Astyanax mexicanus: one gene and its partner. Each later gene encodes a partner of the first gene's protein in a complex. Links are inferred from orthologs where the notes say so. Each region holds a gene or a part of one and is shown on either strand. Other genes may lie near its edges.

Region 1 (7,836 bases):
CAGAGTTATAATGTTTGTCTAAATGTGTGTATGATAATGTACTTGTAATAGAGCCAATGTGGAATGCAAGACAAATTTTAAGGAAACTATAAACTATAAGTTTATATAAGTGTATCGTATTGTATTGTAGTGTATTGCAATTATCTAACATGTTTGGTGTTCACACGTTGCTTCTGTGTTTGTGCACTCATATACAATGCTAATGTTGTATGAATAATAAAAATTTATCTTAAAGTGCATCCAGGTCATCAATAAGAATACTTGATTTAGTTTATAGCACAATATGGTTTCTATAAACAATAACAATGAACAAAGTAACTAAATGCTAGAGAAACCTATTTAAACACAATGACTGTTTGTTATGATCCTTTTGACAGTAAGTCATAGTGCGTCCTAAATTAAATCATTAGATTTGCGCAACCTTAAAGAAGGTTGAGATATGGTTTGAAGAGGTAAAATATTTTTTAATGTAATGTTAGCTCATAGCTGCAGCACTAAACTGCAGAACCAGAACAAACATACCAAATATGTCTTGGATGGAGCTACTTTGGGGTAAGAATAGAAACTGGGTAAATCAGATTCTTTTTCGCTGAGCTATTTAAAAAATATATAAATGCACTTTAAAAATATGGATTCAACATACTCGAATCAGGTAGTAATCACGTTTGAAACCAACACATATGGAATTTTCACACCAGGCCATGGACTTGGGAATATCTGGTACTGCTAAATCTCCCTACAAGACACAATACATTTTTAAGAAACAGCAATATGACATTATTTAATCAGAAAGACAATTAATAAATTACCACCTTCAAACTTACCTGCAGCTCATGGAACTCCCTGTCTTTCCAGTAGTACAGCTGTAGTTTCTTTTTTACAGCAACACACATCCGCAATTTTGCTTCACCGGAGGAGGTTTGCTAAGGAAGGCACAAGAAAACTCAACTTCATGCAGTAAGAATGTGAGGGAAATATGTATTAATAAAGACTGGTTTGTCAACACTGGTTATATTATGTAGTTTAATAAATACAATGAATTATTCAATGTGCAGGAAAGATTTAGAGTCATGATTGACAACAGCAGAGTCATGAGTCATGATTGACAACAGCACACACACACACACACACACGCACGCGCACATCCATACAGACCTGCAAGTCACAAGCAAAGAGTGTAGCTCCTCTAGCCTTTGATACAACAGTAATCTGCTGAAAAGTGAGTAGGTCATGGACGTGGATGTTATTCTCTGAAACAAACAAGGATACAAAACTGATTATTACATGATGCACAGTGTGTTAACACTACTGAAACTTGCTAAAGCAAAATTTATAGTGAGAACACATATTCAATAACAACAGTATACAAAATAAACGTAAAGTCTTACCCAGCAGACTGACCAAAATCTTGTACTGGGAAACAACATACAGCTGGTGGTGGAAAAGAGAATTGTCAGAAGTCACATGTTTATATTAAAGGGGGCACTCCAGCCAAAAGGAAAAAGGTAACCATCCTTACATTTGTTGTAAACACACATACTCCTGCACAAAGATGGGCAAACCACATTTCCCTGCTGTAACAAACCTTCTAAACTTGGCAGTTAACAAGTGAGTTGAGTTAGGAGTACTTATGCAAGAAAAATAAAAAAGCAGGAATCCAGCACCCCCAAGACTGCAACTTCCCACCATTGCTGTATAGTGGTAAGTAGATTTAAAGACAAGTATAATTCACTTCTATATTCATTTTTATTTGAAATGTGCATGTAAAACAACACTAAACAACAACTAAACTACATAGCATTTTGAATAGAGACTTTCCATTCAAAAAGGAAATATAGTCCACAACCTAAATTAATCTCTCCCTGGGAAACTGACCCAAAATGTCAAGTGCCTTTTTAGACAGAAACAAGCATACCTGCTGTATCTTCTTTGAGAAGTTCTTGTTGGATTTCTCAAGTGTTACTTCAAATCTATTCGTACCTGTATGAAGTGAGATCAAAAGAGACAGAATTAAAAATTATAAATAAAGTAATCAGAGAGTCTTATGCCTCTTAATGTCCTACCTGCATCCTTCTTGATTCTGTAGAGAAGGAGGTGGCCTGGTTTTGTACCCACAAGCAGCCAGTCCTCTGCATAAACAACATGAACATATTGTAGAACATTTTCAACATAGGTGGTTTAAACACAACGTCTGTTTAATTGTGTTAATGAACTGGGAAAACCTTTTAGCTACAGTATCAAATGCAACTGAAGCAAGGGAAGCAGACGATAAGCAGATGAGCAATGCTATCTGATAGTTGTAGCATTTCCTCACAAATTCCCACAAGGATAAAGATCAATCTTACCCCAGGCCGCAAGGCAGTCGATCTGTAGGGGCAACTTCTCCAAAATAGGTACGGGCTCATAGGCGTCATGCATGGCGGCAGATTTAGCAATCAAAAAGCTAGAAAATAAAACGACTTTAAAGAAAAGTGGAACTGTAAGGTTTAGGTGGCATCTGCGAACCGGGAAGCTGATGAACTGAAAATAAGCCCTTATCGAGCCTAGCTATCGTTCCCTAGCTCACAGCAACAGTGCTCAGAGCTCACATACCAGTTACACAACCCCACTAATTCTAATTAAACTTTCGGCTAACCCTTCTGCTCCATCTCCCGTATTTCCACCACGAATGTAAAAAGTGTGACAGCGTCAGAAAGTGAATATATCACGGGTACAGTGAGCGCTAGCGGCGCGGCTAATTAGTTAGCTAGCTAGCGCTGCTGTATAGAGCTGCCATGGCTAACGCTAGCTAGCTCCTTTAGTCCGAGTGTCAACAAAGCCACAACTGAACTAAATACATTTCATCCCATATTCCGACTCAGATAAGTTCGTGCCAACCTCGGAACCCCCTAGCTATTCCCAGAGAACACCAAACCCCCGGTAAAACAGGCCAGTTCGGGGTGTTGACAGTTTGTAGGCTCGCTAGCTAGCTAGCCAACTCGCAAAGAGCTGTGACCGACTCGTAAACGATTCATTCATTTCAACCGATTCCTTCCAGTAAACAGACCGAACTGGTTCAACTGCATTACACACTCACAAAGTCACACACAGAACAAAGCGGATTGAATTTACTATTGTATTCATTAATTATGATTAAAATAATATTAAAGAAGCAATGCAACAAATGGTCTATTTAATCTGTTTTTGTTTGTTTTGTTTTGTTTGACTTAAGAACTAGAATAACACGAGACATTTTCCACTACTACTTACTATATACAGCTCCGGAAAAAAAAATTAAGAGACCACTTTAGTTTCTGAAACACACTTTTAGACAGTACTTTGTTGGTGCTGCACTGTCTATTTTATTAGTATGTCTCATGTCTGTTGTATTTATTGTAGTATTTTAGCTATGTTGAACAGTTTGTGGCAGGTTTGCCCTTTTGTTGTCTATATTGTACAAGATAAAGGAACGTAATTCCATTGTACTGTACTCAGATAAAATTACAATAAAAGTTTCTGGACTTGAAAAATCATGTTGACATTTTTGAACTACCCAGCAAAATATAATTATAGCTATATGAAGGAATTGAGGCTTCGAGAATTTTAGGCTTGGAAAGAATCGGTTCCTTAGACTGAATCAAACTCCCCGTGACTCTCGCTCAGCTGTGTGAACGCTTTCAGCGCCGTGACAGGCACGTGATATACGTCAAAGCTCACGAGAGCCGAATTACACGTTACACCTCAGCCTATACATACAGACATACACATGTTATGCTGTGTTTGGTTTGCAGTGTTTCTTCGTGTAATATTTTATTGATATGTTTAAAGTAAAGTATGACCAAGAATGCCTCTTTTCATCAACTCACTTATTGTTAAACACCCCAACAGACAGTCATTACAGCTATATGAAATTATTTTGTGTAAGTTGGTAAATATGCTAAATGTAAATATGTTAAAACTGAACTGAATATAGTATTTAGCTGATTATTTACAGGCCATAGCAACATTGTTAAGCACCATTTTATCTTTCAGTGTTTAATTTCTTTTCCAAACGTAACAAACTGAATTAAAATACATAATTGGTGGATTCTGAATACATTAACATAATTCTTAACATCTTTTTTCCCCATTAGAGCTCAGCATTAATGTACAGTATATATAAACACGTATGTTCTAACATATATTAGTGTGTATAGTGATGAATATACAGTCAACAAAAGCACAATGATTAAAAAGTCAAAGTAAATTTTATTATTTTTCAGCCAAACCTCAACAGAGACAAACACAACACCCCCTTCCCATGTCACCAGTAAAGCTAAGGCAATTAAAAAAGAAACAAGCTAACAAGCATTTGATGTACAAAAAATATATCTTTCCACAAATCTTTTATGTAAGAATGATTAACTTTAAAACATAAATATATGCATATAATTAAATGCTTAATAAATGTGTAATTTCAAGTGATCTTATACACAAAAAAGACAAGCTGTGTCAAATTCTTTCCCAAAATAATTGAACCCAACTGTAGACACCCATAGCCAGTGTTGAAATGTTATGCAATCTGCCTTCTAATCAGGCATAAAAAAGATGAAAAGTCAAACCTAGGATTGGTTATCGTAGTTAGATACTTTCATGGCACGGACTGAACAATATCAATACTTGAGAGAGTATTGGCAATGCCAAACTTGAATACCTAAGAAGCGAATGTAATCAACAGCACTGAACCAATTAGTCCACATGTTACCAAATATAACTGCAGATTGTCTAACATACAATCTGTTTGTACATTCTTGCAGTTTTAAGCCACATCCACTTTCTGTTTGTAATTTGAAACAAGATATTGGAAAAAGTATTGTTTAGGAACTGGTAATGACATTAAGGTATAAGTACTGATTAGGTTATTAAAAAGGTTTGGATGGTATTGAGTCAAAATTAAATCTGTCCACATGCTTAAAGAAAGCACAAAAATACTTAAATAAGAAAAGTTGCACAAATAGAATCCCAGCAAAATACCCAACAAAAACAATAAGAAATGGCAAAGAAGATTGACAGATTTCACATTTAGCCTGAGACATATTTCCACATTTTGCCCCAGACCAGAAACTGTCTCAAATGAAAACACAGTACTCCAACCAAGGGTTTCAACTGAGTGACATTTATCATCACTTTATAAGTTCTCAGCTGAACTGGAGGAATAAATATCTTGCTTTTATGCACCTGCATGAAGCCTACTCCATTTTGGATCTCTCCATCCTGGTGTTTAGAATTTCCTGTTAGGAGGAAGGGTGGGCAGACACATACAAGATTAAGGCCTGTTGAGTAATGCTACTGTGAATCATCTGACTGTGAGCATATAATGAGTAAAAATGTGACCATGATCATGAGACACAAAAAAAGCAGTCACTTTACCTCTTCGTCATCCAACACCACAGGCAAAGCTCTGTAAAAAGAGGGAAGCGTTGCACTCAATTAGAATCACAATAAATAGGTTCACTTCCTATAGCAAAACACAATGATTTACCACAGGTCTGGCCAGTGCTTCAACAGTTTGTAGATATTCTGCCCTGCAGACCTTAGCTCCAATGCTAACACACCTGACCCAGATAATGGAGGCCTTGAGAAGCAGTTAAATATTAGAGTCAATTGTGTTTGATCTGAACTACGTAAAACCTGACAAAGACTGGACACCAAAGAATAAAATTAACTAGACAATATAATTTCTTGGTAAAGAAATCATTGCTTGAGAATTTACAGCTACCGGTCAACACTGCTGCATGAGTAATGCCACCATTTTCTCTCTTTTTTTCCCCACAGTATTCATAGTCCTGTAGGTAGCGTTATACAAAGTGACATATTTTGGGAGAGTAAATTATGCTTTTTCCATACCAGGATTCATATTTTCTAGGGTTATTTCTATGGTTGTAGAATTTAATTGTTTAATTGTAGGTAACATCTTTATATTGTGCAAGGTGTTAGTGGAGCTCTACTCACACATCGACTACAGTTGTAGGAATGTTATCTTCCACCCATTTCAGGTCATCATCTTGGGAGCTCTAAAGAACACGGAACAGGAAAGAAAAGAAAAGTGAGGTGACGGTCAACCATCATAGAAGTATGTGTAACATGGATATTAAGTTCTCACCTCTTTGCCGAGTAGTTTTTGACTTGCGTGTGTGTCTGACTTTGCTCCTCTCATTTTCATTCCCTCTGAAAACAGAGCACATGGCAACACGTGAGACATTGTTCCATTTAAAAACTGTGGGCAGGGTGGGCATGACAATAAGAGGGCAAAATATCTTATTAACATAATAAAAATATCTACATGTGTTTTGTCTGATACAGACTCTCAAACACTACAATTCCTTGCTTTGTTGAACAGCATTATTCTGAACATCCACATTTGCACATTCTGAATTACTGAATTACAAGCCTAACTGATCTCTATATTGTACAACAACCATTAAATCATCTTTGTATATTTTTTCATTCTTTATACTTCATCTGTGTGTGTTATATTCATATCTTATTGTTTTGTGTTGTTATGTCACTGCTAGTTGTACCATGTGTGACTATGTATGTGACAATAAACAAACAATAGACAATAGACAAACATGATCAACATATTTATATCAGATTTTCATTTTCTGTTGCACTATATCAGCTTGTTCTCTGTTTCTATCTTCTGTTATTGACATATTTTTCCTGTTTCTGACAGTTTTCAGCATGTGCTTTTGCATAGTTTTAGTTTCTGTCTGGTTCTCTGTTTTCTTCTCCCTTTTTGCTTTTATTTTGAATCTAAGGTTTTGTTTTTTGGAGGTTTTGATTCTCATCTGTTTTTGGGCTATTTTCCTCCATTTGTCCTTAATATTAACACCTTTCCTTTTTTAATCGAGAGTGTGAATTCAATCTGTAATGCTACAAATGTCACAATATTTTTTTTCATAATAAATAAGTAACATCATGTTGTAATATACTGCCCATCCCTATGTTTTTGTCCAACATAAACAAAACAAATACTACTATGGGTATAGAACAGAATTTCCTTTTTTTGTATTTTGTGGTTGAACGAATTCTATCAATATACTGATATTTACCAAATGCTTCATTAAGCATAGGTTCCTTCGCTTCATCATCCTCATCATCTTCCTCATCAATAAGGGGCGAATGGGAAAATCTATGCAAAGAATATGGTCATTTTTCATTAGTTACACTCATAAGTTACAGATACATCATGCAAGCTTTCAGACAGTGTGAAAGGTTACATATCACTCAAGGTTACATATGCATTCAAGGTCATTGCAATAATACACAGTAATTCAGCTAACCTTTGGCTATTGACAGAGGGCCGCAGTAGCACCATAATCACCAGCAAGATGGTGGAGAACAGCAACCTCCAGAAAGCATCATCCACCCACAGTTCTCTCCAAGCCTTAGGAACCAAAAACAAAAGCACAATCTCAGCCACAGACATCACAAACTAGAAAGAGTTTTTCACCGATATCCTACTCACTCTCTGACACTCCACAATCTTGAACTGCTTGGTGGTCCATACGATGAAAATGATAGATGCTACAGTATAATATAGAAGTATAATATTAAGTAGAACATTAGTATAATGCATTTGGCTTGTTATTACTTGTATTGGCAATTCTTTTAAACACGTATTCCCGAATGCTACCAAATGCATGCAAACACATAGCACTTACCCAGCACAGAGAATATGAGGGTGTTGGTAAAGTGCTGATATAAGGAGAGCTTCACCACATTTCTGCGAAGCTTCAGAAGGCGAGTAGTCTGAGACAAACTGATGAAAATGTGGAATCCAGCTGTTAAGGACACTGACAGGTTCATTTTCTC
Region 2 (7,776 bases), on another chromosome or scaffold:
GAAGAACAGTTGAATTTAAAGCAGGTAAACCCAAGAAGAAAGGAAAAATAAATAAAATACACCGATCCTTAGGCAGGATTGAACCCATGTCATCAGTGTAGCAGTCATATACACTACCGCTGCCCCAGCTAATGAACTGGGACACACCCAGGAAAAAACACCCTTATAAATAGGTAGGCAAGTTCCAAGTTTAAACTCCAGTGAATAACTGTGTTCACATTTTTGAAATGTTATACCTCCTCTAAACTTAAATGAACACTAACCTTATGCTGTAAACTATCAAGAGCTTTTAAGGTAATTAATTGTGTTCCTTGTGTTTTTGTAATAATAGGCTTCATGCAAGATTATTCCATAAATTCATATTTTTAAACATTTCAAGACCAAAGTAACCAAACTGAAAATTATTTAAAGAAAGCAAAGTAATCAAAGTAATGCTCTTTTCACCAATCACCTGGTGTGATGCTTTGCTGGAACAACTGAATAGTCTGTGACCATTACAGCTCATTACAAAAAGATGGTTGGATTTAGGTAACCTAGAGGAAGTACATAAACAAGTAGCATTGCGTAATAGGGGACTAGAAGTTGCAAAAATCACTTTTGAAATGTCATTGATATCCTAAGGATATTTAGATGAAAACTGATGATACTACTTGTGTAGTCCGAAGTACAACTGCCTTAATACAATGCTATGGCCAGCATTCAACATTCTAAATGTATTATGCTAACATTCTGTGCTAGCCACAGCATGAGACAGGGTGCTTTACCTACCAACTCTCATTTTTTGATAAAAAGGAAGTTTCTTGATTAAGAGGTAAAGAGGAAGTTACTGCTTCAGGGAGAGACATTCTGCCTTAATTCGTTGGCTTGAATGTTTTATTTTAATTTACACTTAATGCACTTTAATCAATATTGTAACACTTAATATGTTAAATCACACTGAACCGTGAAATACAGTACAATATAGTGCTGTATATGTGGCTATTGTAACTTTTGACAGAGACATTTTACTTAAATGAATTAAATGTGAATACAAACTGTTATATGTCTATATATTAAAAATAACCTCCAATATAAGTGTACTTATGGTACATCTTCACACATAGCACAAATATTGTATTAGAAAGTGTTGCACTGTATGAAGCTTTTAAAGTATCAAGGTAGAGAAATTATTTAGAGACTTAAATCATTCCTTTAATTTAATAAATAATTTCTTCATACATGAAGCAACTCCTACCAATCTGTTTAATAAATGATTCCCTTTGTTTAGCTACATTTAGAGAACGAATTGTCAATTAAGGGTAGGATTTATTAAACTGAAAGATAGGGCTGGATGATATCATTATCATTATCATATTTCCACACAGTAATGTGTTTTTTTTTTTTAAATCACACTCAGATGCAATACATTATGGTATTTTCTTTTTATGTTGTGCAAAATACTTTCAAAAATACTGTATAGATATTTACAATACATTTCCCGGCCCTAATAAAGATTTTATAGTGGATGTTTAAAAGTAAATAAAATAATGAATGTAGAAAATGTAAAATGCAATTATATTTATATTAGTGGTGTCAATTAAAATACTAGTATATACTTGTATGTTTGAGGGGAGATAAAGCCAATATGGAGCGCTGGAATGAATAATGCATGATGAATTGGATCGAGAAAACTTTTTTTTACTTTTTGAAACATCTCAGCTTGATTGTAAGGAATTCTAAATTAGAATTTAATTTGCTGAGTATAAAAAGGCCTTTTTACATCTGTAGTTTGTTTCTATGCTCTGGATCAGTTGATGAGTTTGTTTACTCTTCCTCTGTTTGGTTTGGTTTCACACAGGCATAAACCTGTGCACCAAAATGCTCACCAATAAACCACACAAGCACATGTCTCCTCTGATTGGCCAGAGCTGTCTGGTGCTGGAGCTGCGCTTTTAAACACAGTTTTTTCAATGGGACGTGCAACACAGGTGTGAGCAGTGAACGCTGCACATTATTGCGTGTGTAAACTGTGCCTTATCAGCAGTTAACTCAATTAAAAATAAGTATATTTCATAGCTGGGTTGGACTGAGACTAGATCATGATCTCTCCACAACAGATCAGTCCAGAAAAAAGAAATCTGTGCGCTGGGCAGTGCAGATTACGGCAGAAGTTGGGGTGAAACTTGGTGGCATATTTAATTTTTGTAAAAAAATAATAACACGTTACTGATTCCAAATTAATCGCATGCATTAACGCCTTAACATTGACAGCCCTAATAATAACTGATTACTGTATTTAAACTCAAAGTAAACAAGGGTTTGTTTATATAATATGCTCCCTAAATCCAAATCTTACCTCTGAATCATCTGTGGACTCCTCACTTGGTTTTCTCTCCTGGAAAAAAAGACACAGTCTTAGCTTCCCATTCAAATCTAGCTCAGTTAAATTACCTAGTTAGTCTAGCAAGAGTTAAGTGAATAGAAAAATTACTAGCGCTACCACACACATCAGTGTCTATATAGGATATAGACGTGTAAATGTACATAAATAGGATCTACTAGTAGTAGTGGTACCATAATAATAATAACTAGTAATGAGCTGAAGCTAAGAGCTGATATGAAGACAGTCAGGGGAAACTGTTGACACTAGCATTGTCCATACGTCACCGTAATAACAGTTCACACAATAAGCACATTAATCGCGTATTTTCGGTGAAACAGTCTGTAATGTAATGTAGTTAAACTGAACGCTCACCTTCTCCTCCAGTTCCGACATGGCTAAGCTAGTGTTAACCGCTAGCGTTAGCCTTAGTATCCGTCAGTAAGAGGAAACAGGCGCCGCAGAAATCCGGTTTCTACACTAAACTCTCCGTTTATAATCTTATAATGTGAAGAAAAGGCGAAAGGGAGCCGTGACCGAGCTCTCCTGTTAAACTGCACCTCTTCTTAGCCGTAAAAACACAGTAAAATCCTCAGTTTAAGCTAAAGCAAAGCAGCTGCAGCATTTTGACACTAGTCATGAGCACGGTCACATGACAACAACACAAGGAAAGAGCAGGGGCATGCTGGGAAATGTAGTTTAATCCCACTCATGCTTTCTGAGAGTTGGCTTGTAAGACGACCAAAGGTATTGCTCCTCAAAAAAAATATTTCTCTGTATTTCTTATCCTCATTGGGGAAAAAATACTTGGCTTGATATGGCTTAACAGCATATGGTATGTTTGTGTCTGACAAGCATGATCAAACTGAAGAAGCGAGACCACCAGTAACAACAACCAGCATACTTAAACCAGGATTAATTATGCTGGTTGACTAGCATGCCCACCATGACCATGCTGTTCTGCTACCTTCAATTCTCCTCGGAAATTCAGGTAAGTGATGTTTTTATCCCATTAGAACAGTGAATCATTCATTTTTTTAATGTATTGCAACTGATTTAATTGGTTAGCTAATAACAACCTGCAAGTGTTGAAGTGTTGTAGCAATAACAGAAATATAAACAGTTTACAGTTTACAATACAGTTTACAAAATTGTCTGCATCAATTTATTGACCTCTTGTTACTGACACGCCCCCAACTGGGAAACTCTAGGCTTATCTAACAATCTGAGTTTCCCACTGGCAAATATGAGTGTGTGGTGGCGTTTATGTGCTCGGATCTCGTAAATACTATATTTTCGACAAAATAATGGTTGACCAGCATGACCAACAAGGCGAAGCTGTTCAATCAGCATTACCAGCATGTGTGAGTAGCTGCCTTCAGTAAATCTCTTCCATGAAGAAGTTGGATCGTTCAAATTTACCATTCCATCTTAAATGCTGCAAAATTACCAGTCCTTCTTGAATGGTGCTAATTTACCATTTCACCTTGAATGCTGCTAATTTACAATTTTACCTTAATGCTGCTAATTTACAATTTTACCTTAATGCTGCTAATTTACCATTTCACCGTAGATGTTGCTAATTTACCGATTCACCTTACATGCTGCTAGTTTACCATTCCACCTTAAATGCTGCTACTTTACCATTTCACCTTAGATGTTGCTAATTTACCGATTCACCTTACATGCTGCTAGTTTACCATTCCACCTTAAATGCTGCTACTTTACCATTTCACCTTAGATGTTGCTAATTTATCAATTCACCTTACATGCTGCTAGTTTACCATTCCACCTTAAATGCTACTTATTTACCATTTCACCTTAAACGCTGCTAATTTACCATTCCACCTTAAATGCTGCTAATTTACCATTCCACCTTAAATGCTGCTAATTTACCATTCCACCTTAAATGCTGCTAATTTACCATTTCACCTTAAATGCTGCTAATGTACTATTTTACATTAAATACTGCTAATTTACCATTCTACCTTAGCTGGTGCTGTGGCAACACACAGGCTTCAGGCTGTAAGTTGCATTTTTAGGCGCTTGGACTTAACGTCTCACCCCGTCTTAACATCTTTATGTGGAATAAAACGTTCACATAAGAATCCAGGTTTAGTTTACTGTTGACTGATTGTCATTTCTGCACAACATAAGCAGAATTATATAAAACTTTTAAGGCACTTATACACATGCTGAAGGCTCAAGGTTTAGTGTTTGATTTATTAACTAATCCTCTAAATTCAGTGTTTAAATTGTGTACATTATGATATCTATGCTATGCTTTTTTAGTAGGCCTTTAAGGGTCTGGGCATGTGCCTTGCCTGATTCTGAGGAGATGCAAAAAGAGGTCATCATTCAGAGTTAATCATGATTCATCCCCAGGTAAGTGTACATCAGGCTCCATGACACTGTCCGAATATTCAGCATCCCTGTCTGTATAATCCTAATGACCCGGAGGAGAAACAGTCATTTTTATACCCTCACCCCAAGCTTATTCCTATGCGTTTGAGAGGACGGGACATTTGATTAGATTTACTTAGACATTCTTACATTTTGATTCGTAACAGACCGCTGCCATACACGGCCGTGGGATAGGATCATTTGCGACAGGCTGTCAATACGTCTTACATGATTATGCTGATGTGGTGTGGCAGGCCAAGAGGCAGGGTTACCATATTCATATACAGGAAATACAGGCCACAATATGGAAACTGCTGTTTGGGATTGAGGGCATACTATGGCATGTTGGTTTGTTAGACCCATACATTGAATGCAAAATTCAGATTAAATCTGAATCAAAGTTTTAGCTTTGTTCTTATTCTTATTTAAGTCTGGAATGTATGACCCAAAAACTACAAAAATGCATGAAAGGGATAACATGACTCACATCACATTTCACAGTTGTATCTTTAACATAATTTTTAATGTAAAATCTTCAGTAGGATGTAAAATTTACTGTACATACACAGTATGTTTATATATATTTATTGACTTGCTGGAATTTAAGCTAAAATTGTGTTGAGTGACAAATATCACTGCTGGCAGCATTTGCAGATGATGTAGCGATGATTCTTGCAGACATGGCCAACACATCTCACACAAAAAGTTGGCACCCTTCAGTTCGTGGCTGTTGGGCAGATTTCCCATTGCCTCGCTGTACTGTAGACAAATTGTGTCTGAAGCAGATTCTAAACAGCAACTGATACAATGAGACATGCATGGAAGAGGCATATCAAGTGATGTAATGTTGTTAAAATAATGTTTTGATAAAAAAAGATAAGAAAAGAATAAGCCTGGCACAATAAATGTTTTTATTGGACAATATATTATCCCACAAAAATTGCAACAAACAATATTATTGTCATTTTAAGAACATTTTATTCCACTGATATAATGAAGGGTGATTAAACAACTGTATGAAGATGTAGGTCTACAAGTATTGTGTGAGTGTATATGATCATGCAGAGTGAGATCAGATCCCGGTGATTCATGGAGAAGATAAAATACTGCAAACAATAAGTTGACAAGTAATAGCAAACAAGTAATAGTGCCATAATATTTATTCAATTTAGGAAAAAGGCAATTTCCATAATGCTGTTTTCCAGTGTATGATGTAGGTGTGATGTAAGTGAGCTACACCTACACAAGTCATTTCAGTGTTGTATGATAACTATATTAATAATCAATACAATTACAATTAATAATAAATACAATTTTTTATAATTTTCAATAATTAGACATGGAAAATATGTTTTTATTGTGTCAAACTGTGTTTTGTCAGAATTGATGTGTAATACTCTAATGCCATCTGGGCTCACACTTTTCATTCATACATTAATGGTAGTTGAAATGTAAATATATAAGATATATTGAATGGTTTCCCTTTGAATTGTTGCGAGGTCAGACTTTTACACTCTTGCCTGTAATGTCTGTTAAAGGCGGTGGTGACCAAATCTAGTACATGTGGTAAACAAGACAGGATCTGAGGAAAAATGCTAGATGAAACACACAGGCTTATCTCGTAGCGCAGACCCCGGCCTCGTACAGAATACACTATCAGTCTCGTCTGTGTTTTATGAGCTACTTCAGAGAGTGCTTTTTGCACCGTTCGACACCGCGTTAATGTCCACTCATCCATTATAGCTGTAGATTTCATCTGTATTATATTCCTGGCAAACAGCGTGGTAAATACTTGAAGAGCCCTCAGGTTCTGAAGTCGGGGTCACTTCATCAATGCATTATCCTTAGTATAACTGCTAATAATTGATGAGCAGAAGCATAGTGCTCCCCTGCTTACCACATCATTGGCTTTGGTCAGTCTACCTTTAGGCTGTTGCTGAATTATTCACTCCTTTTCCACTTCTTTTTACTACATGGATTTTATACCTGTGATGTTCGTCTAAGACAACTCTGACTTTTAAAAGAATTGATGCTTTAAAGACATTATTGTTCGACACAACGAAATTGAACATTGTTACTGAAATATAAAAAATCCAGTCTGTGATTTAAAATTATTTTCAGTATGTTTTAAACATTTAGTTTTTTTTGGACTTTTGGAAAAACTCACCGGCTTTCCAAAGTTAAGCAAAATTTGATACACTATAAATACCATAGATGCACTATAAATAGGATACTTTTTCTTGGTTCTACTACTGGTTCTACAAAAAGAAATGGGAACTGGTTCTAAAAGGGACAGAAAATATTTTTCATTAAAATAAAAAGGATGTATTTACTTTTAGAAAATTAACAAAATGTACCATTTGACCAGGGATGCTGATTTGAAGTTCCATGCAAGCTTTTACAACATAGGCTATTTATTTAATTATTATTTGCATCCAATTATGCATCCAAGTTATAAATAGAGATGCATTTTTCTTTATAATTGAAAATTTGAAATACCAACACTGTCCAGCACTTTTGTTATTAGGTAATGATTCTGGTATTTATTTGTAACAAATATAAAAGAAGATTCTTATGCTTCTTCTTCTTATTATTATTTATAGTATATTTGTATGCTATATTGCATAATATTCTGTTGAGGAACGTTCGGCTACAGTAATTTTTTAGGCATTTTGATTCTGGAGCGTTCTACAGCCAAGCTATTTTAAAAACGGTTAGAATCTGGCCAGATGTTATTTGGTTTGTGAAGAATCATATTTGAAAATGGGTGTGGGACTATTGTTTACCTCCAGTAGTTATACTGTAAGTGATTATGTGTACAGTATGTTTATGTGAATGTATGAGAGAAGTGTGTGTGTACTGGTGTGTAACTGTTGTAAATTATTGTAAATAAAATAAAAATGTTATTCGCAAAAGGAAATACCAACACTATAAAAACATTATTAAACACAGATAAAACACCACACATTGTAAGTGTGTGATATTTCAGCAATTCTAATATTGTTGGATTTAAT

Evidence for each region.
Region 2: vps39 (region 1) and vps41 share a complex: the UniProt entries of both Homo sapiens proteins name them as parts of the homotypic fusion and vacuole protein sorting (HOPS) complex. The link is inferred for Astyanax mexicanus from reciprocal best matches to the Homo sapiens genes VPS39 and VPS41.

What each region holds. Positions count from the first base shown.
Region 1 is NC_064421.1:20,441,316-20,449,151, forward strand, and holds the start of vps39 (vam6/Vps39-like protein), read right to left. Parts: upstream 3,010-7,836; 5' UTR 2,419-3,009; coding exon 2,346-2,418; intron 2,130-2,345; coding exon 2,064-2,129; intron 1,981-2,063; coding exon 1,916-1,980; intron 1,432-1,915; coding exon 1,389-1,431; intron 1,251-1,388; coding exon 1,156-1,250; intron 924-1,155; coding exon 825-923; intron 737-824; coding exon 644-736; intron 1-643. Other genes in the region: transmembrane protein 87A, read right to left, coding at 5,208-5,249, 5,389-5,419, 5,971-6,032, 6,122-6,186, 7,074-7,153, 7,305-7,408, 7,490-7,548, 7,686-7,792. UniProt on the Homo sapiens protein: Regulator of TGF-beta/activin signaling, inhibiting SMAD3- and activating SMAD2-dependent transcription.
Region 2 is NC_064408.1:103,282,593-103,290,368, forward strand, and holds the start of vps41 (vacuolar protein sorting-associated protein 41 homolog), read right to left. Parts: upstream 3,022-7,776; 5' UTR 2,756-3,021; coding exon 2,735-2,755; intron 2,375-2,734; coding exon 2,336-2,374; intron 1-2,335. UniProt on the Homo sapiens protein: Plays a role in vesicle-mediated protein trafficking to lysosomal compartments including the endocytic membrane transport and autophagic pathways. Acts as a component of the HOPS endosomal tethering complex.